Lepisosteus oculatus: one gene and its partners. The protein of the gene in region 4 interacts with the protein of the main gene of each other region in a biochemical or structural test. Links are inferred from orthologs where the notes say so. Each region holds a gene or a part of one and is shown on either strand. Other genes may lie near its edges. The genes, in order: kirrel1a, jam2a, jam3b and tjp1a.

Region 1 (7,150 bases), on a different chromosome or scaffold from region 4:
ATATCAGAGCTCTCACGTACTGGAGCTCTCAGGCACGCCAGGCACTGCAGTTTGACTGGCTGTCCCTGTGTGGAAGCCCTTTCTCCATGGGGCAGAGCCCTGGCTCTGTGGCTAAGGATCTGCAGCTGTGACTGGAAGGTTGCCAGTTCAAATCCCACGGCCGGCGGGGGAATCCTACTCCGTCGAGTCCCTGAGCAAGGCCCTTAACCAGGGGTGCCGTATAAGTGGCTGACCCTGCACTCTGACCCCAAGCTTCTCTCACCCTGTCTGTGTGTCTCATGGAGAGCAAGCTGGGGTATGTGAACAGACACTAATGCAAGAGATTGTATATGGCTAATAAAGCGATCTTATCTTAAGCAATACTGTTTCCTCCCTCAGAGCGTACCCGTACAGCAGTAACTATCTTTCCCTCCCCCTAGGGTGTTAACTTTATTTTTCATTCTGGCTGAACTCTGAACAACTGCATCCAACTCCTGATGCCTCTGTCCATTTTCGAACTGCTTCATCCAACTGAGAGTCACGGGGGAGCCAGAGTCTATCCTGGCAAGCAATGGGCGCAAGGCAGGATACACCCTGGACAGGACGCCAGTCCATCACTGGGCGCACACACACACTCACGCCAGGGCCAGCTTTATAGTGGAGCAGGTCAAGGTTGATTTCACGCTGAACAGAATGGAATAAACCTTCACTTGTTCCTTTGCTGCCTACACATGCTGACACTGCTCCCTCCTTGAACGTCTTCAACCCGATTTCATAGAAGCCAATTAACCCTCTACCATGTCTTTGGACTGTGGGAGGAAAGCAGAGCTCCCTGAGGAAACCCCAGCAAACCGAGGGAGAACATGCAAACTCCACACAGACAGCACCCCAGGTATGGAACTGAGCCCAGGGCCCCAGCAATGTCATCCATGCCCTGCCACATTTGATCAAAACTGCCTTCCGATCCCATTCTCAATTTGCTTGCTTTTGATTGCCTGCAACGATTTTTTTTTCTAGCGTTGCCAGTGAGCTACAACACAACTGCCAAGATCTGTGGCTCTCCGGTACAGATATCTCCAATCAAAGGCAAAGAGACCTACCGAAACTGAGCCAGGAGGATGCAGGTTCATCTTGTTGTAAGCGAGGTGGAAACAGAAGGGCTAATTAAGAGCCAATTATGTAACCAGCCCAGCTGAAAACTCCGCTGTAACCTCTCTCCTATCTGAGCCTTAGGTAATAGGAGCCAATTAGCTACACTTTGCCTAGCCTGCAAGGAAGAGACTTCTTAAATAATAGCGTGCATTGCTCGCCTTATCCACAGCCTGAGACAATGCCTGAAATTCACCTGCTGGGTTTCTCAAATCCTTCGGCTGTTCGGTGGAGAAACCTCAGCACATCTGCAGCAGAAATCTGCCGGCAGCCCAAATGCCGTCTTTAAAGACACCGAAGGAGATGGCGGATGGTGTGCCCAAGACTGACTTGGGACAACTTGAAAAAGAGCTTATAAAACTTAAAACGACAGTCTTTTTAAGTTATTTTACGCCTGCAGATGTGGAGGAAACGGGCGAGCTCGATGCACAGTAGACTGCCTCGGCACCAAACAGATTTCGGCAGCCAACCCTAATTCTTATATTCACGTACACAATAATACATCGTTTATTTTGACTGGGGAAGGGGTGATGGAGCTGGTATTGCAGACCATGTACGAAAGGTGTATTTAATACTACCATAAGGTTTTGAAACCCATTTCTGTCTTAGAAGATCAGGCGTCCATAACAGGTATCATTAGATAAAGCACAAATCGATATACTAATGAACACATAGTTTGACAATCAGTCGGCGGGTAGAATATACTCCTCTACTGTCAGCCACGCTTTGTCGATATTTCTAACCTTTAGCGCCTGCTGAATGAACAGATAAGCAATGAGACGCAATCCATTTCAACCCCCCCCCCCAAAGATGAAAGATTTAAAAATTCACATGATACATCGCCGAGTCATGAATGAATACCAGCGGGGCTCTGACACTCACAAATCAGATTGTGGCGTTGACAAATAAACAAAAACATTCAAACAGGTCCTACGCAATGCTGCCGCGGACTAGCGCCGTTAGCTGAATCGCGAAGGCAATTCGAATTCGCAATGGCAGAGTGAGGGGTTTTCAGGCGTCGAGTCCTTGGCGTGTCGTCTTTTTTTTTTTTTAAGAAAACGAGACATCTCCGGGCTCGCAAAGTCATCGTCTCGTTTAACGACGCGAAATCTCAAACTAGCGGGGTGATGTCGAATTGCCCCCCCGACTGGTCTCGCCGTATGCCCCTCAGAAACAGTTTCGCCAAATGGAATGCTGCACGATACAGGCTTTATCAGTCGCTTCGGTTTCTTTGTAGGAAAAACGTTATGTGCCCACAGAAACAAAGTCAAATCCACGCAAAAAGTATCACTGGCTAAATATGGCAATGCCCACAAACTTTTATTATACTCGCGTTTTAAACGGCGGAGTTTTTCTTTAAAAAAAAAAGCCTTAGTCTTACCTTTTTGTAGACTGGGAGCGAAAGTTATAATCCATAAGAGTAGCATGGCTTTATTTGGGTCATGAAGTTCCATAAAATGCCCCTCAATCCTCAGTCCGCTTGCTCTCCGCTTTGAAGTAGAAACTGCATCAAGTCCCATTTGTTTGTATTTCCCTTCGCCTTTAACGGGCCCTCGTCGCTGATAACGGGGAGGTTTTTTTTTTCCCAGTTCAAGGAATCTGCGTCGCAAACTTAGAACTCCTCGACTCCGCTACTCCCCCAATCCCAGCCTCTGCGAAACTGCTCGCTGGCGCTCCGTTTCTCCCTCTCCCTGTCTCCCTCTCTCTCTCCCTCTCTCAATCTCAGTTTTGTGTTTTCCAAGAAAAAAAAGGGGGGCTCATTGTGCTTTCTAGAGGCGTTATTCGGTATTGCAGAAGGAAAAGACGCGTGTCTGTGCCCCAGCTATGTGTTCCGAGTTCGCCTCGGGCGGTTTTGTTGTCACGGCACAGCTAACAGCCGCAAAACGACGATTTTTTTCCATTTTTTTTTTATAAGGGGAAAAAGAACGTTCGCCCCACCTTTTTTTTTATGAAACGCGGCCTCTGGAGTTGACACCGGCATGAAAAATTATATTCTTTATTCCCTCCCCTAGCGAAAAAAAAAAAAACAGAAGCAAACAATTTCTTTGAGATCATCCAGTATGTTATTTTCGGGGTTGGCTCGATACTTGTCGATTTAGCGTGTTTGTCAACGCGCATGAAAAGAGTTCAATCTGGAAAATAAAACGCGAAACTAGACAAAACATTTATTAATGATGCTTGTACGTTCTTTGTCAAAATCCATAACAGCTACAGGCACACGAGGCTTGAGTTAAACCAAATGTTATTTTTTTCCCTCCAAAATTAAACTTTATTTTTACTGCTGCAACGTCTTGTGTGTTCGGTGACAACTCCACTGTAAAGCACGGCGAATCCCACAGAAATCGCGTCAGAAACCTAAGGCACAGGAATCTGGCCATGGCCCCGTGAAAGTGCAGGGCCAACACGCGTGTCCCGTCGTGAACGCCGCGCAAATTGCCCGCAGTAGGAATGCGGAAGGAGTCTCGCCCAATTAGGAAGATTATTGTTGTTGACTGCCTACGCCAACATTTCTGCTGGCCTTCTTGGTCGCTGGTTCCCTACCCCCCAACCCTGGTCCCAGGCGAGCGCTGTCTTTATCTGTTTTTGGTTCCAGTTGGGTTGTTAATCAGTGGAACTGACGGATGCCTTTTAATTGATCTGCCTGGTTATTTAGCGTTTAGCTCACCGGCTTCTGCAGTCAGTCCTAGGTTTTAAAAATACCGGCTTCCTTTTATCAAAAGCTGGAGCCTACAGAACGATGCAATCTCCGCTCGGCTTTTCTTCCTAATGTCTGACTTAACAGCTCTTCATGAGCGATCAATTAACAAAGAGCAGACACAGGTGGGAATGTGGGAATGTGTGTGTGTGTGACTATCACACACTTCAACAATTTGCAATCATTATCTTTTCTGAAGAATCCCAATTAGATATATTTCCCCATTGACAAGTCTAAGTCAAGGAAATTCAGAACCTCAGGCTAATGACAATGGCAAACCCCATTCAACATTTCAGGAGCTGAAACCCAATTTGAAACTATATGCCACACACAGAAAACAGAAACCAATTAGCCAGCAAATACGAACTTGACTGAAGTCAAACATGTACCGTGAGACACCCGAGGACCTGAGGACCCCAGAACCAGTTCTGGGGACCAGTGTTGCTCCATGTCTGGTTACTTTCGGAGCCCTTTTACACTGCTCTGTGATAGATCCTCTTAAAATTGTCAAGTGTGCAGACAACACCCAAACGATTACCCAACACGACAGAAGCAGCAAGTGAAATTCAAAAAGATTAAGATAAAATCCAAGACCGGGCAAATTTAACATTAAAAGTGCGGAAAACTACGTGCTGGTAGCGAAAAAATATATATATTTTGGACGCTTTGGTCACATAATGGGTCATGCTTAATTTGAATAGGACACAAATTCGGTTGACAAGTTATTGAAATCTCCAAGTCAAAGTGGGGAATCAGATAGGACGGCCAACAAAAAATACCTAGTTGAAAGCTCAGAATCAAAGCACGTTATGGTAATTTGGGGAACCCCCCAGTCAGATCTCACTTCGAATATTGTGAAGCAAATTTGCTTACCAGACTTTCAAACATTATTAATATGGAATCAGTCCAGGGAATAGCAACCACACACTGAACATCCCAGAGCCCGAAACAGTGTCCTACGTGGACAAGCTAAAGGAGCTGAATGTTTCCAGCCTTTGATAAAGACTCATGAGATGATCTGCTGGTCGTCTTTAAAAGTCCTCAGGGGCACCGAGATATCCTCCGAATCAACAGTGAAACACCAGCAGACACAGACGAACCACGTCCGTTCCCCCGGACAACTAACGTCTGTCGAACGTGATAAATATGCCAATGTTGATGAATTATGGTGAACGCTAGTTTCTCGACCACTTCCACGATTTCTTGTGTGGGATTTAGGCTCGCGGGAGTCATTTGGGAGAGGAGGGTGTGAAAGAACTGGCAGTTTTGTTTTGTGTAACTTTGAACCCAAATGACGGCTTCGCGTGAAAGCGCGATAATATGTTGGCAGAAAAAAAATCAACAAATATAATGTGAAAACAAGTTTCGTAAACTCGATGATTAAATTCCTGGAATCGTCAGGGCTAGGAAGTGGAAGAGTAAGTAAGAATTCTTACTTACTTTTCTGTAAGTAAGAATTCCATTGTACCAGCACCGGTTACATATGGCAATAAAGTTCTAGTCAAGTCAAGAGCACGGCGCAACCGCGCGTCTTGAAATACGCAATTTGAATGTCTAAATTTGTAGCGATTTCTATGGGCAAAGGCTCTTGTGGGAAACGGAGACCACTACTTGGCAAACATTTATTGTAGAGAAACAACACGTATACCTTGACAAAAAAAAATATCGACATTTCTAAAATCTGATGTCATTGTGTCAATCATCCTAACCTTCAAAATGAGCTAACGGTGTCAGGAATATTTCTAGCACCATCGTCGTCATCATCATCATCATCATCATCACAGCCAACAACAATACTATTACTACGAATAATAATATTAATGATAGTATTATTAGTAATAATAGGTTAAAAAACGCTCTGAGACACAGAAAGGATGGTTTTTATCTCCCTCTCGTGGCCATTTAATTTTCAGAGCACACCGTAACATTCATGAAAAAAAACGAGACTCAGATTTATGCCGTGAGATAATCGAGTTGCAGACAAAGCTCTTGGCACCCATTTGCTAAAACAAGGCTGTTCGACAGCTTATCAATATGGCCTGGCACAAACGTTCTCATTCATAAAAAAATCTTTACACGTCTTAATGACTCATTCATTCCAGCGAGCAGCGTGGCTAAGATTTGTTTTACAGCACCAAGTGTGATCACCCTCTGCTCATCCTCAGTGAACCATATATTCTCATATGCCATGTTCTCAATGCCCCCATTTAAAATTGCTGTATTAAAATGTATTGTAAACTGCAGGATTTTGAGACTTTTAATGATCAGAAGGCAAGGTCGTGGTAAATATGCAGAAAGTGCCGGTGAATTCACGTTTTGCCTTTGTCTTATTTGCTCATGTCTAACATGCCCGTTTGTGTTTTGAAAATTGGGTATCGCTTTTCTGAATTTGTGTTTCATACCAAAATGCAAATTTGGACAGTCACTATTCACTTACATATTCCCCTTTACTGAGGATACGTACAGTAATCCATCTGGATGAGGACGTTTAAAAATGACTGTAGGGAACCACCTACAGGCGAAAGGTGGCATAACATCACAGCCGCAGCATTTAAGGTGGAACGAAAAACGCGAAGAAACCAACTGCAGCCTCGTGGAGAACGACAGCACCTAACAAACTATGTAATTCATGTCAGTATTTTACGGGGTGATTTAGCTATAGGAGGTCAGCCATGATTTGACTCTGTTTCAAGCCACAGAGCCTTAGCAGAGACTTTAGGGCTTTGCAGTGCTTGATGTTCCTCAGACCACACCGGCTCTCGGGTTCCTGCTCTCCCCGTAACAGCGAGGATCTCGTCGGGCCGGTGTGGTCTAGCTCCCCGTGAGCTCTGTCTCTCGCTGACCCACCTGACTCCCCCTTAGCCGACCTGGACCGATTACTCTAGAATTCCCTATATAGCGAATTTGGCTTCACACCGGTTCTTTAATTACCTCGTTCCTGCGTGCATGTGAAGTGTCTGACCAGCGCCCTCTGGTGGCTAATTCCTTTAACTGACACTCCAGATCTTGTTGCTCTATTATAATTATTAATAATAATTGCTTACACTTATATAGCGCTTTTCTGGACAATCCACTCAAAGCGCTTTACAGGTAATGGAGACTCCCTCCCAACACCACCAATGTGCAGCCCCACCTGGATGATGCGACGGCAGCCAGTACTCTCACCACACATCAGCTATTAGTGGGGAGCAGAGCAGTTCAGAGATGGGGATTATTAGGAGGCCATGAGTGGTAAGAGCCAATGGGAAATTTGGCCAGGATGCCGGGATTACACCCCTACTCTTTTCGAGGAAAGCCCTGGGATTTTTAATGACCACGGAGTCAGGA
Region 2 (7,176 bases), on a different chromosome or scaffold from region 4:
TTAGGCAAGAGCCCCTGCTTCATGATCATCCAAACCAAACCTGACTGGAGCTCAGTATTTGACCCTTGCTAGAGAGAGCATGCTGTTCTGTGTTTTTCGGGAACTTGGGTTTCCTGAGTAAAAGATACCTTGGTTAAAGACGTATTCCCTGCTGTGGGCGCATTTGTAGAATAGGGAGAAGGGCTCCCATTTATTTTGTGGCATCCAGATTTGCAGAGAGGAAGATGTACTGTAACTCTTACTGTGCCTCTCTGTGGGTTTTATTTAAGAGTTCAATACTTTGTAGCAGTCTGTGGTTTTCTGGGTGATCAGGATTTTAGGCCTCTGAAACACCTTGTCTGTAAATACTGTACATATAGGAGCTTGAATGTTGCATGTTTGTTGTGCCTCTAGTGTTTGTCTTGTAATTGTTAATAAATATTAGTTTAACCAAGTGTGCCTGGATTATTGCTCTTTTCACCAAAGCTGTGCCAAAATTACAAAGAGTTCACGTGCCTCTAATTATACCAGCCACTCACATATATTCTGGAAAATCACTTACATTTCGGGGGTTATGATTATTTATTTTACTTATTGACTAATTCACTTGGTCGATTCCTGATTTTCACCATTTTCATAACCCCCTCATTTGTAACAATATTTCTATATTACATAGTACTATAATAATAGTTCTATACTATATTGTACTTGTATATGTATTGCGCCGTTCTGCACTGTTCTACATCATATATCATGTGCTGTGTCATACTATCATAGTGCAGCACAGTCCTAAGCAAGCATAATATACTACATACTATTTTCATTACACTGTATACTACTAATAATAAATTTTATTTATATAATGCCTTTGAAAGTAGCATCTCAAAGCACTTTACAGTAGGTTTTAAAACAGTTACAGCAAAAGAAAACAGTTAATTCAGGATACAAATTTAAAAAAATCCTTATAAGAAAGACAAGTGCTCAACAGTTCAGCAGAAGATACTTAATCATTACATTATGGAGCAGACACAGACACTAATTTAAATAAAAACCTTCCTTAAAAAGAAGGTCCTGTGTCTGGATTTGAAAGTGCTCAGGGAAGGTGATTCTCGGATTTCCTTGGGGATAGAATTCCAGAGCCTTGGGACATAGCAGGAGAAGGCCCTGTCCCCCATAGAATGTAAATGTGATTGGGGACATATAGAAGACCAAAGTCAGATGAATGAAGGTTGTGAGGTGGGTAGTAGACAGATAATAAGTCAGATAGGTACTGAGGTGCCGAACCATTACGAGACAGCCTTAAAGGTGAGCGTGAGGATTTTTACATCAGCTCGAAATGTGATAGAAAGCAAGGACTCCAGAAGTGAATATATACAGTGCCTTGCGAAAGTATTCGGCCCCCTTGAACTTTTCAACCTTTTGCCACATTTCAGGCTTCAAACATAAAGATATAATTTTTTTATTTTATGTGAAGAATCACCAACAAGTGGGACACAATTGTGAAGTGGAACGAAATCTATTGGATTTTTGAAACTTTTTTAACTAATAAAAAAATGAAAAGTGGGGCGTGCAAAATTATTCGGCCCCTTTACTTTCAGTGCAGCAAACTCACTCCAGAAGTTCAGCGAGGATCTCTGAATGATCCAATGTTGTCCTAAATGACTGATGGTGATAAATAGAATCCACCTGTGTGTAATCAAGTCTCTGTATAAATGCACCTGCTCTGTGATAGTCTCAAGGTTCTGTTGAAAGCGCAGAGAGCATCATGAAGACCAAGGAACACACCAGGCAGGTCCGTAATACTGTTGTGGAGAAGTTTAAAGCCGGATTTGGATACAAAAAGATTTCCCAAGCTTCAAACATCCCAAGGAGCACTGTGCAAGCGATCATCTTGAAATGGAAGGAGTATCAAACCACTGCAAATCTACCAACACCTGGCCGTCCCTCTAAACTTTCAGCTCAGACAAGGAGAAGACTGATCAGAGATGCAGCCAAGAGGCCCATGATCACTCTGGATGAACTGCAGAGAACTACAGCTGAGGTGGGAGAGTCTGTCCATAGGACAACAATCAGTCTTACACTGCACAAATCTGGCCTTTATGGAAGAGTGGCAAGAAGAAAGCCATTTCTCAAAGATATCCATAAAAAGTCTCGTCTAAAGTTTGCCACAAGCCACCTGGGAGACACCCCAAACATGTGGAAGAAGGTGCTCTGGTCAGATGAAACCAAAATCGAACTTTTTGGCCACAATGCAAAACGATATGTTTGGCGTAAAAGCAACACAGCTCATCACCCTTAACACACCATCCCCACTGTCAAACATGGTGGTGGCAGCATCATGGTTTGGGCCTGCTTTTCTTCAGCAGGGACAGGGAAGATGGTTAAAATTGAGGGGAAGATGGATGCAGCCAAATACAGGACCATTCTGGATGAAAACCTGTTGGAGTCTGCAAAAGACCTGAAACTGGGACGGAGATTTATCTTCCAACAAGACAATGATCCCAAACATACAGCAAAATCTACAAAGGAATGGTTCACAAATAAACGTATCCAGGTGTTTGAATGGCCAAGTCAAAGTCCAGACCTGAATCCAATCGAGAATCTGTGGAAAGAGCTGAAAACTGCTGTTCACAAACGCTCTCCATCCAACCTCACTGAGCTCGAGCTGTTTTGCAAGGAAGAATGGGCAAGAATTTCAGTCTCTCGATGTGCAAAACTGATAGAGACATACCCCAAGCGACTTGCAGCTGTAATCGCAGCAAAAGGTGGCTCTACAAAGTATTAACGCAAGGGGGCCGAATAATTTTGCACGCCCCACTTTTCATTTTTTTATTAGTTAAAAAAGTTTCAAAAATCCAATAGATTTCGTTCCACTTCACAATTGTGTCCCACTTGTTGGTGATTCTTCACATAAAATAAAAAAAATTATATCTTTATGTTTGAAGCCTGAAATGTGGCAAAAGGTTGAAAAGTTCAAGGGGGCCGAATACTTTCGCAAGGCACTGTAACTAGGTACCCCAGCAAGTAGGGCGTTACAGTAATAACTTCTTGGAAAGAAATGTGTTAATGAGCTTTTCTGCAATAGTCAAAGATAACAGGACATAATCTGGCACTATATCTGAGATGGATGAATATTCTGCACATGAGGATCAAAAGTCACTGCTATATTCTTAAATTTAGATTGAAATTCAAGCACAGTGCCATCCACAGATAGGGTTACTACATCTGTTTATGTAGGTAATAGGTGATGCTGAATACCATGACCTCAGTCTTGTATGAGTTTAAGAGAGGGGAATTTTGAGTCATCCAGGTTCTTACTGCATATCAGAGATGAAATTAGAGAGGGAAGAAACAGCTACTTCACTGTCAGGTTTACTATGGACATAGATTTTAGTAATTTATCATGAATTACGAATTGATTTTTAGGACCATGTGATCTTAGTATCTGACCTAGTGGGAACATGTAGATGCTGAATAGCAGACAAACTTAACGAACCCGACTTCACAACTGAAACCCCCAAGAGAAAGAAAAGAATGTCAGCGATCAAAAGGTAAGAGTGGAACCATTTGAGAGCAATGTCAGAAACTCCAAAACACAGTCTCAAGACTAGAAAGTAGAAGCCATGGTTAATAGTGGCGATAGCAGCAGTGAGGTTTAGGAGAATACAAATAGAGAAACGGAATCAGTAGCCATAAGAAGATCGTTAATGACTTTAACCAGAGCAGTTTCTATGCTGTGTAATTGTCTGAAACCAGATTGGAAGGGTTCAAAGAGGGTACATTTTTTGGAGTTAAAAATGTTTAGCTATTCCAGAGCCATGTTTGTTTGTTTTTTGGCACAGGCGAATCGTTCTTCATTTTACAGTATCACCATACTGTACATACATCATACATATAGAGCACCGTATACTGTACAATACTCCCAAAGGCGTGATGTCACCCCACAATAACCACCGACAGCGAAACACACCTGTTTGATGTCAACACTACAACTTACACTACAAACCTGCCCGGCTCTGGGTCCAAGTGTTGATACTTCTGGAAATCAGGAAATTGCCGTAGAAGATCATCTCGGAAAAAAAAAAAACTACGTGATCCACAGGATTGCTTTGATGGGGTTAAGTTTTACGATCACTAGGACCCTGTGGAGCCCTCCTACGCCCCCCGCCCCCAACCCGGGAGAAACAGTTGAGAGAGCTGCGGGCAGGGTCTACTCCACAGTAACACCCCACCGCTGACAGACGGACGCCGGAGAAAGGGAGAGTGCGCCCCCAGGACTGCTCGGGTCACTCGCAAACGCGGCGAACCTTACTCCGGAGGGAACCCGAAAATAAACTTGTGGGATAAAGAAGCCGGGATTTCAGACTCGGTCAGCTATAGGAGGAAGATTAGTTCGTTTTCATTGTTTCTTTTCACACCAAAGAGTTCTGCATATTTATTAACTTTCAGCACATTTAGCTAAATTACGGGAGAAGTCTGTTTTAAACGAACTCTGTGAAGATGGCGAGTTTGCAACTGGTTTATCTCTCAGCTTTTCTACTCTTGCAGCACTGTGAGTAACAATGATTACTAATTATTCTCTTTCTTCTTATTCGAGTTCATTCTTTTACGGAAATCTTGATTCCAACGCGTGCCGCTCCTTCTACCCCGTTATTCGGAGCTCATGGCCAGGAGATGTTGCGTATCAGTATCTTCGGCGTCACTTTCCAAACAAAGGCAAACTTTCCCGTGATTTTCTCTCAAGTCCAGATCTGCAGTTTGTCTACGTAGTTTCTCTCTTCTGAGATTGTATTGTGGTCCTCTGAGAACAAAAAACAGCGTTCCGTCTTTGTTCATGAAGTCCAGTTGACACACAGGGCTGCCTCAAAGAGAGAGCCGTATTATGCATTTTCCCGTAAGTGCTTTGCATAGTGGATGGGGAGTCGCACTGCAGATCAGGTGGAGAAATCGCGTCACCACGAAGGAAAGATTTGGGGAGGCCAGAGTGGAATTTAACCCAGGACTATGGGGTGAACATACCTTCTCTTACGAGCAGGATCATTAATACTCAAGCTGGCAGGACCACCGTTTAATTGTCTCCACCAAAGAACGTCGGCTCTTATAGCATGAGATTCCTGGGCATCGTTCTGGGGTTTGTAGTCGAGAGGGGAAGAGCTCCACCTACTGGTCCACTGTGTCATTTATTAGTTGTAGTAAATTACTCTTTGTGTGTTATCCAGACTGTATGACTGCACAGTGGTGTTGTGTAGCACAGTTGACAGCATGGTGTTTGTCCGTGTGTCGTGTGCACAGGTATGTAACTTTCCTGGGACTCCGGCTCCCTGGTGTGTTAGTGATGTACTCTGCATCTGCTGCATTTTAGTCAGTCCGCCATCGAAACTTACTTGTGAAAAGCTGCTGAGGCACGTTGTTCAAAAGTGTCAGTCTGGATGCCGAAAGAGGTCATGTGTTGCATGGCGAGCAATATCTATATAATATGTAGCTGTTCTTTGCACGCTGGCAAAGAACGATCACCTACTGTATTTAAAGGGTCTGACACAAGCTGCCCTGGTTTCCTTCAAGAAACAACTGGATGAGATCAGAGCTCCTCACAATCAAACAGGCAAGGTGGGCCGTTGGTCTCAACCTGTTTGTCGCGCCTCTTCGGTTTGTCAGTTTTGGCCCAGTCTTAATCTCTGCCCACTGAAGTGTCCCTCAGAGTTCGCCTCACGGGGAGAAGTCAGAGGTGCTAATTCAGGCTCGGTCCAAGTCAAGTCCCTGTTTTAGCTAGGTAGTTCCCACAAACGCGTTCTTATGTTTTCAAGGTCAGTGTAGCTGTGTGTTCCAGAGAAGATACAAATGTTAAATCCAGAGTGACTGACGTTCGAGAGAGTCAGGTCAAGGTTCCAGCGTGTGGAGTGGCTGTCAGGGAAGGACACACTCTTGTGTCTTGTGTTCCGTAAACAGCACTTCCAGTCCCAACAGGGCTGAGGCAGACTGTAGCAGCGGTCACTATGGAAATTCCCCCGGTGACCGAGGAGACCCGGACCCGGGGCGACACTCGGTGGATGCATGCCGAATTGGTGCAGTTCTCTGCCAGCAGCTGCGGCTCCCCTCAGACCCGGGGTGAGAGGAGTGTGGTGTGGATTACCTTACGGACACAGGCCGGCTTTGTTCTGCCTGGACAGGGGGGTGGGGGAGTGGACCACCTGACACGTCCCAGCTGGGCCATCAGGCTAGTGACTCCAGGACAGTTTGGAGTCGCATTCGGGCAGAGAGCAACAAAACAAGACAAGGGGAAAACTGTTTGCATTCTCCCCCGCCCCCCCCCCAAAAAAGCCCTCGAAGATTTGTCTTACAGCAGGAGACCCCTGCCATATCAGCAGGAATGTGTTAGAACTGTAGGCTGCTGAATCCTGTCCGGAATTGGGTTTCTGCCATGTGTCCCCCAGGACATGTCTGGAAGGAGTCCTGTGTGTCTGTTCTGTGTGGCAGGGCTGCACGTTTGTGGAAAGTCTGGGCAGTGACCACAGTGTTGTGGATTTGGAGCTGCCAAGTTGGAATTTAGAACTGAAATGGGAAGGAAGTTTGAGTCACTTGTCACATCTTTATAGGCCTGACCCGTCTGCTGAATGTGGCCTTTTTGACTGATGTCATATTGGTCTTGTACTTGTCTATTACAAGTCACATATCCGTTGTGGGTGGAAGTGAAATACTTTTCCTTACCCTTTAAGGTCTTGTGGGACCTGCGAGACTATGTGCTCTGCATCTGGGCTTCTGGCCTGGTGAGGCTGCAAAGTTGTGTCCGATGCCGTTAGACTGCAGAATCGAGGTGGACACTGGCCAGAGCTCGTCTCCTGAAGAGCCTTTTGTGAACGACTCGTCAGAAAAAAAAAAACAACTGAATCTCGGCTACGTTCAAGGCACACGCTGTGTAGTTTCACCACACATAATTATTTTCCCTTTGAATTCTAGACTCATTGTAGCAGAATCATTATCCTATGTACGTGTCTCCCCCATCACCCGTGAAAAAGGTGTAAAACTAACAATTTTCTGTAGGCCTGTCTAATAAAACAATATGTAAGGCAACACCCATTCATCCATTTTCTAAATGCTTTATCCAGTGCTTGATAGCAGGGAAGCCGTAGCCTATCTCGGCAAGTAACAAGGAGGGATACACCCTGGACAGGATGCCAGTCCATGCAGGGCACACAACCA
Region 3 (7,287 bases), on a different chromosome or scaffold from region 4:
TAAACAACAATAGAAGCAGTAACCTCCACAGTGTCATAACAAACATAACGAAACCCAGAAACAGCTTCATCTTTAATTCCTTTTCCCTGGCAGGAAAAATACATAAAAATGGCACAGCACAGCAGGGAAGCTCTTTCGGCTATTGAATCTTAAGTTATGAGCACATGGCCAAAGTATTTCAGACTCAGTAACTATATTTAAAAAAAATATTTTAGAGTGTCTAACACAATAGCTCTTGATACCCACAATGGACACATTTCTGCAAAATTACTGTTAGCAACAACGTGGGCTTGCTTTTCCACACGCCATGTTTGAAGACAGATCAGCAGAAACTGTGCTGCAAAAGGATTTTTTCACTGTTGAAACATTTTTTTTTAAAAAGGAACCCGTCAATATTGTTTTAGTTTAAAGTTTAAGTTTAAAGTGGGCTTTTCATGCCTACATTATTTTGATCATTGAAGTTAGAAAAGAAGCTTCTAGCCCCATTTGTAAAGCATGATAATTCTTTTTAAAATGATAATATCTTCAAAGGTTATTTTAAGAGATGCAAAGCAAGCAGGAAAAGAAAGTCATGCCAAACAACTGCTGAATCATTGATCTACTTGTAGATATTGTATTTAATTTTTCAGGCTATTTGAATGTCCCTAATTGAATATAGGGTACAACATTTAAATGAACATTGAGAGTTGTTTTCAAACTCCTACAAAACACATACAAATTTGTATTACTGTTTAAAGTTTGCAGGTTTTCAAATATCTATACATATTTGTTATAGATAAAAATATAAACATATTTAGCTTCAATGAGCACTGAGTTGACTTCCCTGTTAATGTCTGAGTTATCCTTTCACTCAGCCTTCATTAGTGCTATAAATGGGTAGACTACCCTAAAGAGTATCTGCACAATACTGAAATGACAGATGTACAGTAATTAACAAGCACCAGCTGATTACACTGGTAGTTGTAGTAAAAACAATATTTCCTACACACGACCCACGCTGCTTCGTTTAGGTAGTCCAATGACACAGATCATCAGCTTCTTCGTTATTGCATTGCTTGGTGTGTCGAGACGTTAATTACGAGGTGATAACGAGGCAAGAACCAACATTTCTGTTTAGCGGCATCAACACACAGAGTTAGGGACTGTAATGCACAAGAAATTTTCATGCCACTGATGTTGTTGCTTATTAAGCAGCAAGATAACCCACTTCGCGGCAAGCAAATTAAAGTGACGCATTTGGTATGTTATGCTGTTTTTTTCTTCATGAAAGTCAAAGCTAGAAAGCCCTCAAGAATAACATTTTCACTCTTGTAAATATGCACAGTAGGCTTTTCAGAATCAGCATAGCCCTGCTAGAGAGAGGTATAATCAGTTGATTGAGTTTTCATCTCTCCTTCTAATTCTGTTAAAGGCGTGGGTGGCATTTATAGATGGGACTACCTACAGTACAGTTACCCGCTCCGATTAACAGCTGCACTGAAGAATCAGAGCTAAAAGTATTTTAAAGCACACGACCTCAAGATACAGTATGTTTATGAAGCCGCAACACTTAAACTTTACACTATTTACAGTGAGAAGCTGTACTTCAGGGACACCTTGGTGCGTTGTTTACATTTATTCTTCTAATGCTATTGAAACACCTATTCCTTCTAAACTCATAATAAACTACAAAACAGAATAAACAAGGCAAACTACTGTGTTGCCCGTCACTGTGATCTGCAATAATAATCAGAACCACCACCACAACAACAACAATAGTGAGTGAAAAATATTTACATTGTATTTCATAATATTTCAATATTATATTAGTAATATTTTAATGATATTTTTATATTGCATTACAAATGCCACATGATTTGCCACAATACAAAAAAACAACACAGATCTCTGCGGGGCGGAGTGACTGAAATGGACTGAAACAGCCTGCTGTCGCACCGGCCACGCTGTTGTCTGATCACGCATGCCGGCTCTGGCTCAGTCCTGCTGTCTCACAGAGCGGCGGTGGGGCAGTGCGGCGGTGCGGGAGCGGTGCGCCCAGGCGCCGACCCCCGCCGGACCGCGGACCGTCCCCTCCAGCCAGCGCTCCCGACCGCACGGCCGTTATCCTGCATCCCTCGCACCAACTTTTCTCCCACTTCTCTCTCTCTTTCTCTCAACTCCCAAGTTTTATCCGTGTACTCCGCGTATCCCGGCTTCAAAACACGCGTGAAAATGTCCCAGCTTGAGCTCTCTCTAACCACGCAGTCACCGATATTCGCCAAATACGTCTTGCTACCAATCACCCGACAAAACTTTTTTTGGGGGGGGGGTCGTCGTCGTAGCTGAGGTTCCCCAGAAAACAGACGGCGAAACACCCGTCTCACATCCGGACTTCAGAGTTTATATATATATACTGTATATTAAGTTAAGAAGCAAGCAAACGCCACCTTTACTTTTTTTTTCCGACCCAAAGATTTCAAAATGTAACGTACAGCTCAGAGCAGATATTTATTCTTCGCCTTTGGGAAAGCATATTAATAATAAGAGCCAGGGTGTCCCGTTATCTCGCGAATATTGCTTGAACGGTACAGTATGTACCGTTATCTTCCCCCAAACCCAAAGCTGCAATAAAGACAGCTTTTATCACTGCACACTTGCGTTGCTCTTCAGCTTTGCAGCAGAATAGGTAGCTAATTGTAACAACAATAAAACAATAAGCAGCCCACGTTGAGTTCATCTGATTTAAAAAAAAAAGCTCTATAGCTGGGTCTTTCTAGCTGTTCTTGTACCAATTTCGTGTAGCTGCGGATAATGGAAACGCACACCCCACAGAGAAAGGACGGTAAAGTTCAGAGGGGAAAAGAAGAAAATAACGTTACAGCTCAATACATGAAACAGCCCATTTCTGCATAGACTCACAGTGTGCAGAGAAGAGGATCGCAAATCCTGCCAGCCTTGCTTTCGCCATCTTGTTGAGTTGCTCAATGGATTATCTGCCCGTACATGCGCAAAATAGAGGGGGTAGCTTTCAGATGATAGGGAGGACCACTGGAGAGAGGGAGGGGAGAGTCTGTTGTCGAGAGTTTCCATAGCTACACGCATCGTTTTTAAGGACAGCCTTTCCCCAAAATTTACTTTTTTTCCCCTCCCAAACAGGATTAGTGGTTTTTACCGTTACAGTTCTTGATTTTCGTCTTATAGTTGTGCTGTAAATTATTTAGACGACATTTCTCACGAACTGGCTGATGAAAGGTTTTTTTAGGGGGCTTACAGGACATTTTCTTAAAGTCAAGTATTAACCTCTTCCTGCGGGAATATTTTTCTCGCCCGCAGTTATGTTTCAAAGGTCTAAAAAAGTGGCAGGCTCTTTACATTTATATAGATGCCTAGCGGATCTCACTAACCTAGTTCATAGCTTAATCTTCATAATCTTCATATTATGGACCAGAGAGTGTACATCAAGCTTATTTTATTGTTTCGATCAATTCTTATTGGACAGCACCTCAGAAATGTAAGGTGTGTGATCTTTTCCCAATTATAATTCTTCTTCAATAAACTACTTTAATCAATAGTTTTCAATTATTTGTTTTGATGTTTAATTTCTGCTGAAACAATGACACAGTAGACAGATAAGCACATTACCCAAAGATATATAATCACTTCTAATTATATCAAGGTAGTATAATTTTTAGTACTCTTACTGTCATAATATAGAAGATAGAAACTGTATACAGTATATGAGATTCATTTCACCCCCAGAGTTAAATGGTGTCGGCCTTAAACTGCAACCAGCAATAGACTCAGGCACACTGTGCCTAAGCAATAATTTGACTTGTCTTCAAATAATGCCAGACTGGAAAAAAATCCATATTCCAGGGATGAAGTGATGAGCAATATCTTTCAATATCTATTCTGTCCCATTGTATTTTTGAAAGGCTCTTTGAATCTCACATGGATTTAATCTCCACACAGCCACTAGCACAATAAAATGATAAAATTCTGTATGCAGAACACATTCTTTATATAATCTTGTACAAGATGTGTTTTAAAAACCTGCAGGACCTACAGTCCTTGTGTTTTATGGATCTGTCAGTGAAAAAGCAGCATCACCTGTGTATCTTTCCTCTTCAGTGTCCTACATTTGTTCAGCTTGCTGTAAATATACTTCTTGTGTCGGATTCAGCACTTTTAGTCATTTTGAGTGTTTATCTATGTCAATGTTCCAGCAGAAAATAAAAAAAGGAGAAAGTAAAAAGAAAAAAGAAAATTCTATGTTTGAATGTCACACCTTTAATCAAAACTATTGATCAAAGCTTGTAGAAGAAGAAAGGTTTTACATGGGAATAGATCACACACCCAACATGTTTTAGATGCTGACCAATGAGAACTGATCAAAACAATAAAATATGCAAATAATGACGCACATGCTCTAGTCAATAATTGAAGAACAAAGCAATATTTTAACCAGATTAGTGAGATCTAACACAAATGTACAGTACAACAGTACTGTATATCATGTTCATAGACCATTAAAACCAAGCTGCAGTGAAGACATCAAGAGTTCTTGGGCAGGAACTTGGTGAGAAATGTACTGTAGTCTCTCTCATTACAGTAAAACTTAAATGTCTGTCTTGTGCTGCGACACATTTAATTTTCTTATATTATGTTCTGGGTTCTTTTGCCCTGCAACACAGATTTTACCATCTCTTTAGCTACCTGTTAAAAAATTTAAACTGCTTCCATACAACGTCCTAATGACAGATGTGATAAGAATACTAAGAAAAAAGAATTTCTTGCTCTTAAAAAATTAATTAAGCATGTCCACCAAAGTAAGTTGTCTGTACCAGCTTTTTATTTCTGTCATTGGGATCTGGAGTCTTTTTCAATATTTCTTCTTTTAACTTCAGTTTATTAACATATATTCTGCAAGGAATAAGGTACTGTAGATATCAATTTCATTATTGGACTGATTGTTCAGAGCTGTCACTGATCTATTACTTGATTCAATTTTGGAGGAAATCCAGCACTGAGAAGAATAGCTGCTCAATCTTGCTCTAATGGCAGTTTATAGAAATGACTTATGTTGGCATACTCTGGGGATATTTCATTTAAGACTGTGATGTAAAATATTTTAGTATGGTAGGTTTTGCCATCAGTCTCACTCCGGTTTTGCTTCCAGCATTCATGATTGGTTTGGCAGGGGCCTGCTGTTTTCTTAAGCTGGTACTTTGAATTATTGCCTGCATTGCATTTCATTATTTTCTTGCAACACAGATTCTGTTTGTTTTGTAACTTTTGCTTTGACCACTGAGCTCACTAGTTTTCACAATATTATGTTCAGTATACAGTATACAGTTGTTTTTTTTTACATTTTGCCTTTGAAATATTTTCCGGAATGGCACACCTGTGACTTCAAACAAGACCTATACTTCATTTCAGGAAGCGCTATTTTACTGATTTAAAAAATAGCTCTGTTAAATCCAGATCATGAAATGTTTTGATTAAACTTTGATGATATGGTCCAGTGATAGAGAAATAAAACTAAAAATGTAAATATACTACGACTTATTAAAATAGACATGAGTGAGTGATAACGTTATTAGTTGAATTAAACAGGTACGTATGCAGTCTTCAGTTCTTATAAACTGTAGAAAGGGTCTTTGCCAGAGCAGGTAAAAAACAGTTTTTTGTTGCATGCTGGGAAAAGTATGCTTGCATAAACGAACACACTTTCCTTGTGGGAAAAAAATTCAAAAAGCCTCAAAATGAAAGGTGTAGTGGCTTCTTCAGAGCTCGCACCATGGGAAGGCTAACAACTGCAGATCTTAATCTGTCGACACAGCACAGGGCTGATGACACAGTGTCCCGAGAAATGCTCCAACTTTCTCAGGCTTAGGAAAACCTCTCTGTGACACAAGTTATCTGCACAGACACGGTGGGTGGCATCTGAGTGAGAGGGGCATCTGTTGGCCTGAGGCAAGGATCGACAGAGAAATTCAAAAACATTGAAGGGAGAGTGGCAGTGGGGAGAATGAGGATGGTGTCAGCAGGGGAGAAGCAGAGGGAGAGGAGTCACAAAGAAAACTCACATGAGAAACAAAACTGCAAAGGACTGGGTAATTAAGTGCTCGTGAAGTGAACCTAAATGCCATTTATCATTAGGAACAAAATCCAAGAAGAAGAAGGGGCTGCCTTAGTGTGTGACTTAACTGGAATCACGAAACTTTCTGCTAACAGAATGGCAATGAATACAGCATGAGTGGATACGCAGCGTTCAGAAGATGAGGCAGCTGAAAAAGGTGAAGACGATGGCACTGCTCAACAAAATAGCATCAAAGGACAAGGAACTAACCCAGATCAGTAGTTTCAGCGCTGAGCCTGCTGAAAGCCTGTCTGCTGATTTCAGGTCCAGCTGACCTCTTACTCACTGATAACTAGCACCTTTAATGTATCTGTTTCTCCTGCAGAGGATCGGCTGGTCATGTCTGAGATATTGTGCTGGCAGATAGTGTGCTGGCAGAGTCCAAAACCAAGTTTACAATTTCAGGAAAGCAGACAATGAAGAAATGAGATATGATAAAATAGATATTGAGATCCAGAGAAAGGATGCCCACAGTTTAAATACTGTATATTCTGCTTCAAGCATAAAGAAGGAACAAAATGAACTTAATGCACTGGTAAAAAGGATTTTTAAAAAGGTCAAGAGAGAAATAGAAAATAATATTGTAATGGAGGCTGTAATAAAATCAGAAAAAGTTTTCAATATTACAGAGGCAAAAGCAAAATAAAGAATGAGGTGTCTCTGAGATAAAAATGAGAAACCGTAAAAACAATAAGAAGGAAATGGTTTATATATATTAAGGTGTTTATTGAGGTGTTTACTAAGAAAGAAAATGCCAACATGCCACAGACTGAAGGAATCTAAATCGAAATCTGTCTATTAAATAATATTAGTATGGAAGAAAGTCACTCACTAGAAACCTTTGTAAAAGTAAATCATCAGAGCCTCCACAGGAGGTAGCAGTTCACAGTTGTACTTACTTAATGAAAGTATAAAGGAAGCAATGATATTCATAGACTGTTAATCAAACTTTTCCAACAGTTGCTCAAGACACACACTGATTGGAATTGTTAATGTTGCATCCAGCCATCCAAAGAGTGACAAAACCAAATCAAGTAATTAAAGATCAATTAGTTTTACTTCTATTGTTGTAAAATTCTGAACATGTTAATTCAAACTAAACTAGAAAATTACTTGCATGGATAGTCAGTGTCTAGGGTTACTCAGCTAGTCAGAGTTTTCTGAGT
Region 4 (7,342 bases):
TGGCAACATTATTTCTCATGACCCGTCTACGTTTGTGTGATACCAGTGGTGAAGACAGAATTTCATCACGATAAGAGTCTTTCTATCTTCAAAGACCACTGAGTGTAAGGCATACTGCTCAAGATCTGATTTTGAACATTATATGCAGTATGTTTATGTACAGTGTGTAGACATACAGAAATCGATGTGACAAGCGTAAAGGAAATTAAAATCTCCCCTCCACCCTTAGTGCACTTTATTGAGGCACAGCAGAGTGACCTTACTCAGTTGCGTTGGCTGTCAATTTGCCTTCATTGTGCCTTGGAAGGATTGGCTTGTTTTTGGAGAAGTAGCTCATTCACTTTACCCACCCTGGTTTCTACTCTAGAACAACAAGGCTGCATTGATGTACAAAGGACTCCTTTATTGCAGTAGAGTGCTGAGACCTGATGAACTCACTCTTCTGGTGACCTGATCTGGACACACCTCAAGTTAAAGACTGTAAAAAGCCTGCTGAATAGTAATCTGCCCAGTTAGGAATATGAACCATTAAAAATAGGGGATCAGAATGAGCAGCAGAGGAGGGATGTGCTAATTTAAAAATAAAAACAACTCATGACAAAAATTGATTTAAAAATAATAAATATAAAGAAAGAAAATATGACCACCAACATTTAAGGTCTGCTGCTGGGATAGCCATTTTAATTTTGTTTTGAACAAAGTAATGTGGATGCTGTTAATCACCCAATAACATAAAAGCTCATAGTCAAAGCCCATTGTATATACTGTATGCGATCACATAACATAATGACTGCATTTGCAAAAGTCCTTGATGTGTGATCAAATACTGGTAATATATTTCTTTGTTGGTAACAATCAGATCATTACATGTTGTTAGGGGAGAATTCACGCATCATTTAACAACGGCCACATTATGCTGCAAACTGGAAACAGACATCTGGACATACATTATTGGAAGCTGACATACAATAGGCTTTCTAGTTTAGACCCACTCACAGCAGAATCTGCTAGCCTCTCATTATTCCTTAAGAATATTTTAGAACCTAAAATAAACTTTATCCAAACCTGTGTTAAGACCCAGGGGCTCCTACAGAAACAGTGTCACAATGATAAATCTGTCAACGTTTGCTCCTGATCAGAAATGACAGGCTCCTGTGAGGACCCACATCTCACGAATTTCCCAACAGTCCTTGGGAAATCAGCCTTCCAGACCTTTTCTTTCATATTCTACTTCTTTATCCTGGATATTTGATCACAGATATTATTTAAGATATGCCTGCATAAAACCTGTTGGTCATACTGTATGTATCAGATCACCTGTCAGTATTTTCTGTACACAGAATAATTACACTTGAAATTTCACCTTTAAACAATATGTTCTTGTGAGAAACATTACATTTTATAATAGAATTTTGTCTACAGAAATAATTTGTAATAATGATTCTCATTTTACAGAAATACACTAAAAATACACTAAAAAATGCACCAAAATAAATGATTAAATGATTAAATGATTAGATTAAACATTTGGAAATGGTAAATTATACCAAACATAAAAAACAACAGCAAATGTCAATTTGTTAAGCGAAAAGCATTTCTTCCCACAACTGTGTGATCATTCTAGATTAGTGAGTATGACTCATACAGTTGTTTTTTTAAATACAAGAATTATTATGCTTAGCATGTATTATAATGTTTACTGTAGATATAGCTATATACATAGATAGATGACAACTATAAAATTATTATTGTAATGCTTTAATAAAGAGACTAGTGAGTGTGCAGTCCAAGAACTGTTTCACTTTATTTAACCTTTGAAACTAAATAAAAATAGCAAATGAAGAAAAACACTAGAATTTTTTTATGCCATATTTTATTCAGATTAACTTAATACAGAATGAATTAATATTTTAAGACAGCAGTGCATTATAATTTCCTTTCAACTTAACGATATGCCTGCATTTTAAACACGTATTTAATAAAGAATAACATTTCAATGCAAGTGTATATACACAGGTACATATACAATTGATTTATGTTATGGAAAATATTAATGTGCAGATATAATTGATACAAAGAATTGATCATTACATTAAAATGGAATGCTATTCTACTTCTATTGTGTGATTTTCAAATAACCATCCACCTTATTAGAAACAATTACTGCATTTCCTAGCCAGAATGTACAGCGTTATGCAGAAATAACAATTTTCCTAACATTCCATTTTAATAATAAAAATAGAAGAATGATATCATGCATGCTAGTTGCTAATAAAGGGCAGTGCCTGCTCAGATCCCCCACGCAGACAAACACACTGCCTTCTGCATGTAGACCTCCAGATCTGTGCAATTAAAACAATTGCAGCACGAAACAGAAAGGCAGGCTCGTGTCTGCATCTTATCCAAACAAAAGATGATAGAGTCGCCTTCCCCGACAAAGCTAACAAGCCAATTCTGCAGTGTGAATGGAGCACAATGGCAGTGTGCATCCCTCTCATCATTAGATAACACTGATACGGCCAGTATATTTCTCCCCGGCAGCATCCCATATTTATCCCCTGAAATGCATACTCACCACATCCGTCTTTTATAAGGAAGGAGGTTGTTTCTGTTGGAGGCAGTCACTCCCAAAGCCATCTGCAGAACAGTCAGATATTTCTGATATTTCATTTTGTCCACCGCTTCTACAATTCCACACCACAAGCCAGCGTAGGTAATCATGCAATTTTTATTCCCTGGCATCCGCCTCTTCTGCGTCTCCCTTGCTCAGCATCAGAACGCCATTTCCAGCATAGAGGAACTGACAGGACAAACACTCCCCAAGGAGCTCAACAAAAGGTGCCACGCTGTAGCGCCCCATGTCAACAATGACACTTTAATCTCATTAGCTCTCAGAATAGATTGCTAATCCATTCAATTACAGGCAGGACCTGAACATTGTTTTTTCGCTCCCAGCACTTTTGCTGAAACTCTCGCAATGCCGCGGCGCTGAACGTCCGTGCGTGAGGTAGGCGAAAGAGAGAGAGGGAGAAAAGATGCAAATGAATAATGTAAAGACCTTTCTTTTTTTCTTTTTCCCCCCCGCCCCACCCCACACACTCCCACCGCAGAAGATGCTCCTGGACAGAAGAGCGCTTGTGTCCTTTTTGGAAAATTAAAAAAAAAAAACAGAAGCAGCTGGTATTTAATTGGTGAGCACGTGCTGGGTCTCCCGAACTGAACTGCTCGCCGCTTGGGAGAAGAAGCAGCGAGCAGAGATGCAACTGAAACCTATCAGAGTTCCCACTTGTTAAGGCATCCACATGTTGACTGAGCTGTGCTGCATCCAGCCGGCGGCTTAAGCACAATAAACATGAAAATAAAGGGAACACAAACTGTACCCCATTCACCACCAGCAGGGGGTAGCACTCCTGACTGGAGAGTCAAATTCCTGGAGCACAAACAAACCTGCATCAAATGCTACACTCTTCAGGGTGTGTGCTCTATTCTTAGCTCCCTTAAAATGGGGAAACAGTATCAACACTGAGAAACAAAAACACAATTCTGTGCCATTTCATCAATGGCCACCAGCTAACCCTTTCGCAATCTGCTTAGTGCTCTCAAACAACCCTTATTTAAATGTGCAGGGCTGTAAACATGGTACAGCAGAGCTGCTCCATAGAAACACAGGCTGAGAGCTGTGAGCTGTGCTAATTGGAAAGAACACTGAGGTCCAGGTACTTTTTTGTTCTTTTTGTTCTACCGCAAAAAAAGGAATGATGAAGGAAAAAGGGAGGAGGCTAATCTGACTTGTAAAATGGATTCCTTTCAAACATGAAAATATATGCGTGAATGTGTGCGACTACAAAAAATACATTTCAGGGGCTAGACATAAATTAATAGACACAATCTCTGCCTTAGGAAAACAGTGACGTGCTCTTGCGCTTCGATACTGAGTCAGACATCTGCATTAACTAATTTACACGTCCGACTTCAAATCGCTGTTGACGGATCCAACAGTGGATTGTGAGATTACCAAGCCAATTACATCTAAGACCAAAATGTTTTTTTTTACGTTAGTAAGGGTACCAATCCCCTCTTCCAATCAGATCAGTTGCAAAACCTGTGCAGAAGTCGTGTTACAGCAACACCACACTGTATCTAAATCTGGTTAGACCTCAGCAGCTGAGGAAGGGTGCTGCTGTAAATGGTGTTGGGACACTCCTCCCTCTGGACCATAAAATGCAAATCAATGCCCAAGTGTAGTCCTTCAGATGAGCTGTTAAACGGAAGCTGTGCCTACTCGGTCTTCAGAACACCCAGGACACTGTTTGTAAGAGTGGGCATGTTTACCCCGGCTAATTCCACTTTGGATTTGCACAATCTGATCTTCCCGATTATTTTCTCCTTAATTGACTTGGTGGAGTATTTTCTCACTTCCCCACCTGATTTGCAGTGCAGCCGGGCTGCTGGAGCAGAGTGGATGACGTGGATCCCCCTTCTGCATGTGAAGTGCTTTGGGATCTCTTTTTGGAAAAGCACGATATAATTCCAAGAGAGAAAATAATGAAACCTGTTCTTCCTATTTCTTTAATCAGGTCCAGGGTGCCTAGAAGAAGAGAATCATCCACAGCCTCAGAGGGCGACAAACCAGAATCAACGACTGAAATCTACAAAGAACTCTTTTCAGAAAAGCAGATAGAGGTGGAAGCAGGCAATGCTTTTCTGGAGAGGCTCAAAGCAAGAGTGCCAGAGGAGGTGAGGGAGGACTTGGAGGGCCCGATTACGGCGGAGGAGCCGAAGTAGGCGCTTTGGTCCATATAGAATGGCAAAGTGCCAGGGCCGGACAGACTCCCCAAGGAATTCTACACCTGCTTCTGGCAGATCTGGTGGAGGTGGAACAGGAGATCTCCACCAGTGAAAACCTGGAGACACCCATGAGGGTATGCGTCATCTCCCTACTCTTCAAGGGGAGGACACCGCAGACCTCAAGAACTGGAGGCTGATCACGATGTTCTGCATGGATGTCAAGATCCTGTCCATGCTACTGGCCAGCAGACTGAGGCACGCCCTGCCCCACATCATCAAGAACAAACAGACGTTAGGAAGAGGATGGAAGGGAGATCAGTCAGCTGGAATCTCCAGCTCCGCAGGGACACATTCGCCTGGGCCGAGGACCGGACTCTCCTCCAGCACAACGCAGAGTGGGGAGTGGAGGAGAGGACCCTTGTGGACCTCAGAGGGAGGATGAAGCGCTACGTTGCCAAATAGGGCTTCTCCACAACGAGGGAGCGCTGGAAAGGACTTTGGGCCCTGTACAGGGAAAAAAGTGCAAATCCCTGTTTGCTGAGCTCCTACTTCGTAGTTTCAGAGTCAGGACAGGGAAATGGACAAAAGCAAGTGGTAGGGCTTGAAGGGACTCTTTCATTGTGCAAATCCAGCCCAATCATCCACTTGCACTGATTGATAAAGTAAGAATTCCATTTTACCAGTACATGTACCGGTTACATATGGCAGTAAAGTTCAAGTTCAAGGTTCCGGCACAACTACCTGGACCTGGTCTCCAGCCACATGGGCTGCTCACATTATATAAACTGTACATATATTTAAAGTGCGTATATATATATATGTACTGATAACAACCAACATCTGTGTAAACATTTTGTGCTTAACATTTTCTATGTTGTAGCTTCTGCAGTTTGAGATTAGGTGGAGATTTCCTTAGGCTGCAACCATCTCAAGCAATTCATTTCCTGCCTGTCATAAATCATATGGTTCTGCCCCATAGCATGATTAATAATCATTTGCAACACAAAGATTATATCTGTAGTTATTACATTTAAGCGATCTTGCACTTTGGGATGAATTGTAAAGAAACGTTTTTTTTCTAATCAATACAGTACAAAACAATAGTGTATAGCTGTAATAATCCTGTCACTTGGTTATTGCAGACAACTACAGCCTAGTTTCCCTATGAAAGGAAGAGTGGAAGACTGAATAGGTTTATTCTCACAAGTGATATCTCTTTAGATTTCACAGCATTTTAAATAATGTTGTAACGCATATGGCCGCTTTTGCAGGTTGTGTGAGCCGGCTTACCAGTGCGGTGACGTCAGCCCACCCCTGTGAAGCAGGACCGCAGCTGCCGGGCTGAGGGGAGATTTCCCTTTAGCTCAACTGGCTGCGCGTTCGAGTCCCCAGCAGTTGGGGACCGACCTGAGGCGGCAGCAGCAAGGGCGCATACCCACATGAACCCGAGAGTGCTACAATATTTATAAGGTAGATGTTGTCAGCTATATAGACACTTACTCATAAAAAACACCATAAGCCTGTAAGATGTTCCTTATTAAATCAATATACTGTATCCAGTATGCCCATGTCACCAGCCATAGTACAGATGTGCCATCCTGATGTGCTGTAAAGACACAGCTAATAAGGAAACAGCCCCTGGCTGCTAAATGTGACAAAATTAAGCTAAGAGAGTTAGAAGATGTTTCTGCTTTCTAGGGTTGTAAAAATGGTCAAAGCCAATCATATACAGTATGACATAACAGATACTGACAATAATAGGTTTCAGAGGTTTCAAAATAATAGAAAAATTAACGGATAATGATGGGAAAAAACATACAGGTTATACCTTTGTCCAAAATACCCTGAACCAAATCTTTAATCTTAATCCTGTGCAACACACAAACAGTGGGCAACTGACAAAGTTCAAGCAGAAATTCGCTCTGTGCCATGTTCTTTCTAACTGCAGCTTTTGCTCCAGGTCAAAATAAATAAAATGCTATCAAGCTCAAATTTCTCAGGACAACCTTTCTTTTTAAATGCTCCTTCACTCCAATATTTCAGAAGCTGGTCTACCAACTAATCCTCCTCCACTGCGCCCTTTTTGGCCCAGGGATAACAGTTCCATCTTCACTGTGCTCCCCTTTACACACACCACTGCTTTCACAGAGCCCATGCGAACGCAGATTATATTTTAGCACTCCTCAAGTATATTTATTGGGTTATATGCAAGTCAATGGACACTGCCCCCACTGCGGGCTAAAGCTGTCCCTGGAGCCCCTGCAGACCTGGGGTTTTACTGGACAGGTCTTGGCACGTTGTGGGCAGACGTTTATTAACCATTCTGTTCAAAAACACAGAACCTGACGCCAGAGCCCGATGGGATGTCAGTGAATCTTGAATCCTTGCAAAACTCCTGTCACTTTCTCCTGGTCTTAGAATCTAACGTCTGACTTTATGATCATTATTTCTTTCACGCATATCGATGATGGCAACAGAAATCTAGTTTGTCAAAAATCTTGACCCCTAGCCAAAGCAGAAAGCATGTACAGTACATGCTCCAAACCGGCAATGA

The links.
Region 1: the proteins of tjp1a (region 4) and kirrel1a form a complex in vitro, tested with the Homo sapiens proteins (3 studies listed by BioGRID and IntAct, with this or other methods). The link is inferred for Lepisosteus oculatus from reciprocal best matches to the Homo sapiens genes TJP1 and KIRREL1.
Region 2: the proteins of tjp1a (region 4) and jam2a form a complex in vitro, tested with the Homo sapiens proteins (2 studies listed by BioGRID and IntAct, with this or other methods). The link is inferred for Lepisosteus oculatus from reciprocal best matches to the Homo sapiens genes TJP1 and JAM2.
Region 3: the proteins of tjp1a (region 4) and jam3b form a complex in vitro, tested with the Homo sapiens proteins (2 studies listed by BioGRID and IntAct, with this or other methods). The link is inferred for Lepisosteus oculatus from reciprocal best matches to the Homo sapiens genes TJP1 and JAM3.

Annotation. Positions count from the first base shown.
Region 1 is NC_090699.1:8,109,187-8,116,336, forward strand, and holds the start of kirrel1a (kin of IRRE-like protein 1a), read right to left. Parts: upstream 3,006-7,150; 5' UTR 2,649-3,005; coding exon 2,510-2,648; intron 1-2,509. UniProt on the Homo sapiens protein: Required for proper function of the glomerular filtration barrier. It is involved in the maintenance of a stable podocyte architecture with interdigitating foot processes connected by specialized cell-cell junctions, known as the slit diaphragm.
Region 2 is NC_090708.1:26,495,847-26,503,022, forward strand, and holds the start of jam2a (junctional adhesion molecule 2A), read left to right. Parts: upstream 1-4,171; 5' UTR 4,172-4,479; coding exon 4,480-4,531; intron 4,532-7,176. UniProt on the Homo sapiens protein: Junctional adhesion protein that mediates heterotypic cell-cell interactions with its cognate receptor JAM3 to regulate different cellular processes. Plays a role in homing and mobilization of hematopoietic stem and progenitor cells within the bone marrow.
Region 3 is NC_090718.1:7,930,983-7,938,269, forward strand, and holds the start of jam3b (junctional adhesion molecule 3B), read right to left. Parts: upstream 3,002-7,287; 5' UTR 2,948-3,001; coding exon 2,899-2,947; intron 1-2,898. UniProt on the Homo sapiens protein: Junctional adhesion protein that mediates heterotypic cell-cell interactions with its cognate receptor JAM2 to regulate different cellular processes. Plays a role in homing and mobilization of hematopoietic stem and progenitor cells within the bone marrow.
Region 4 is NC_090700.1:47,025,047-47,032,388, forward strand, and holds the start of tjp1a (tight junction protein ZO-1), read right to left. Parts: upstream 3,012-7,342; 5' UTR 2,743-3,011; coding exon 2,576-2,742; intron 1-2,575. UniProt on the Homo sapiens protein: TJP1, TJP2, and TJP3 are closely related scaffolding proteins that link tight junction (TJ) transmembrane proteins such as claudins, junctional adhesion molecules, and occludin to the actin cytoskeleton.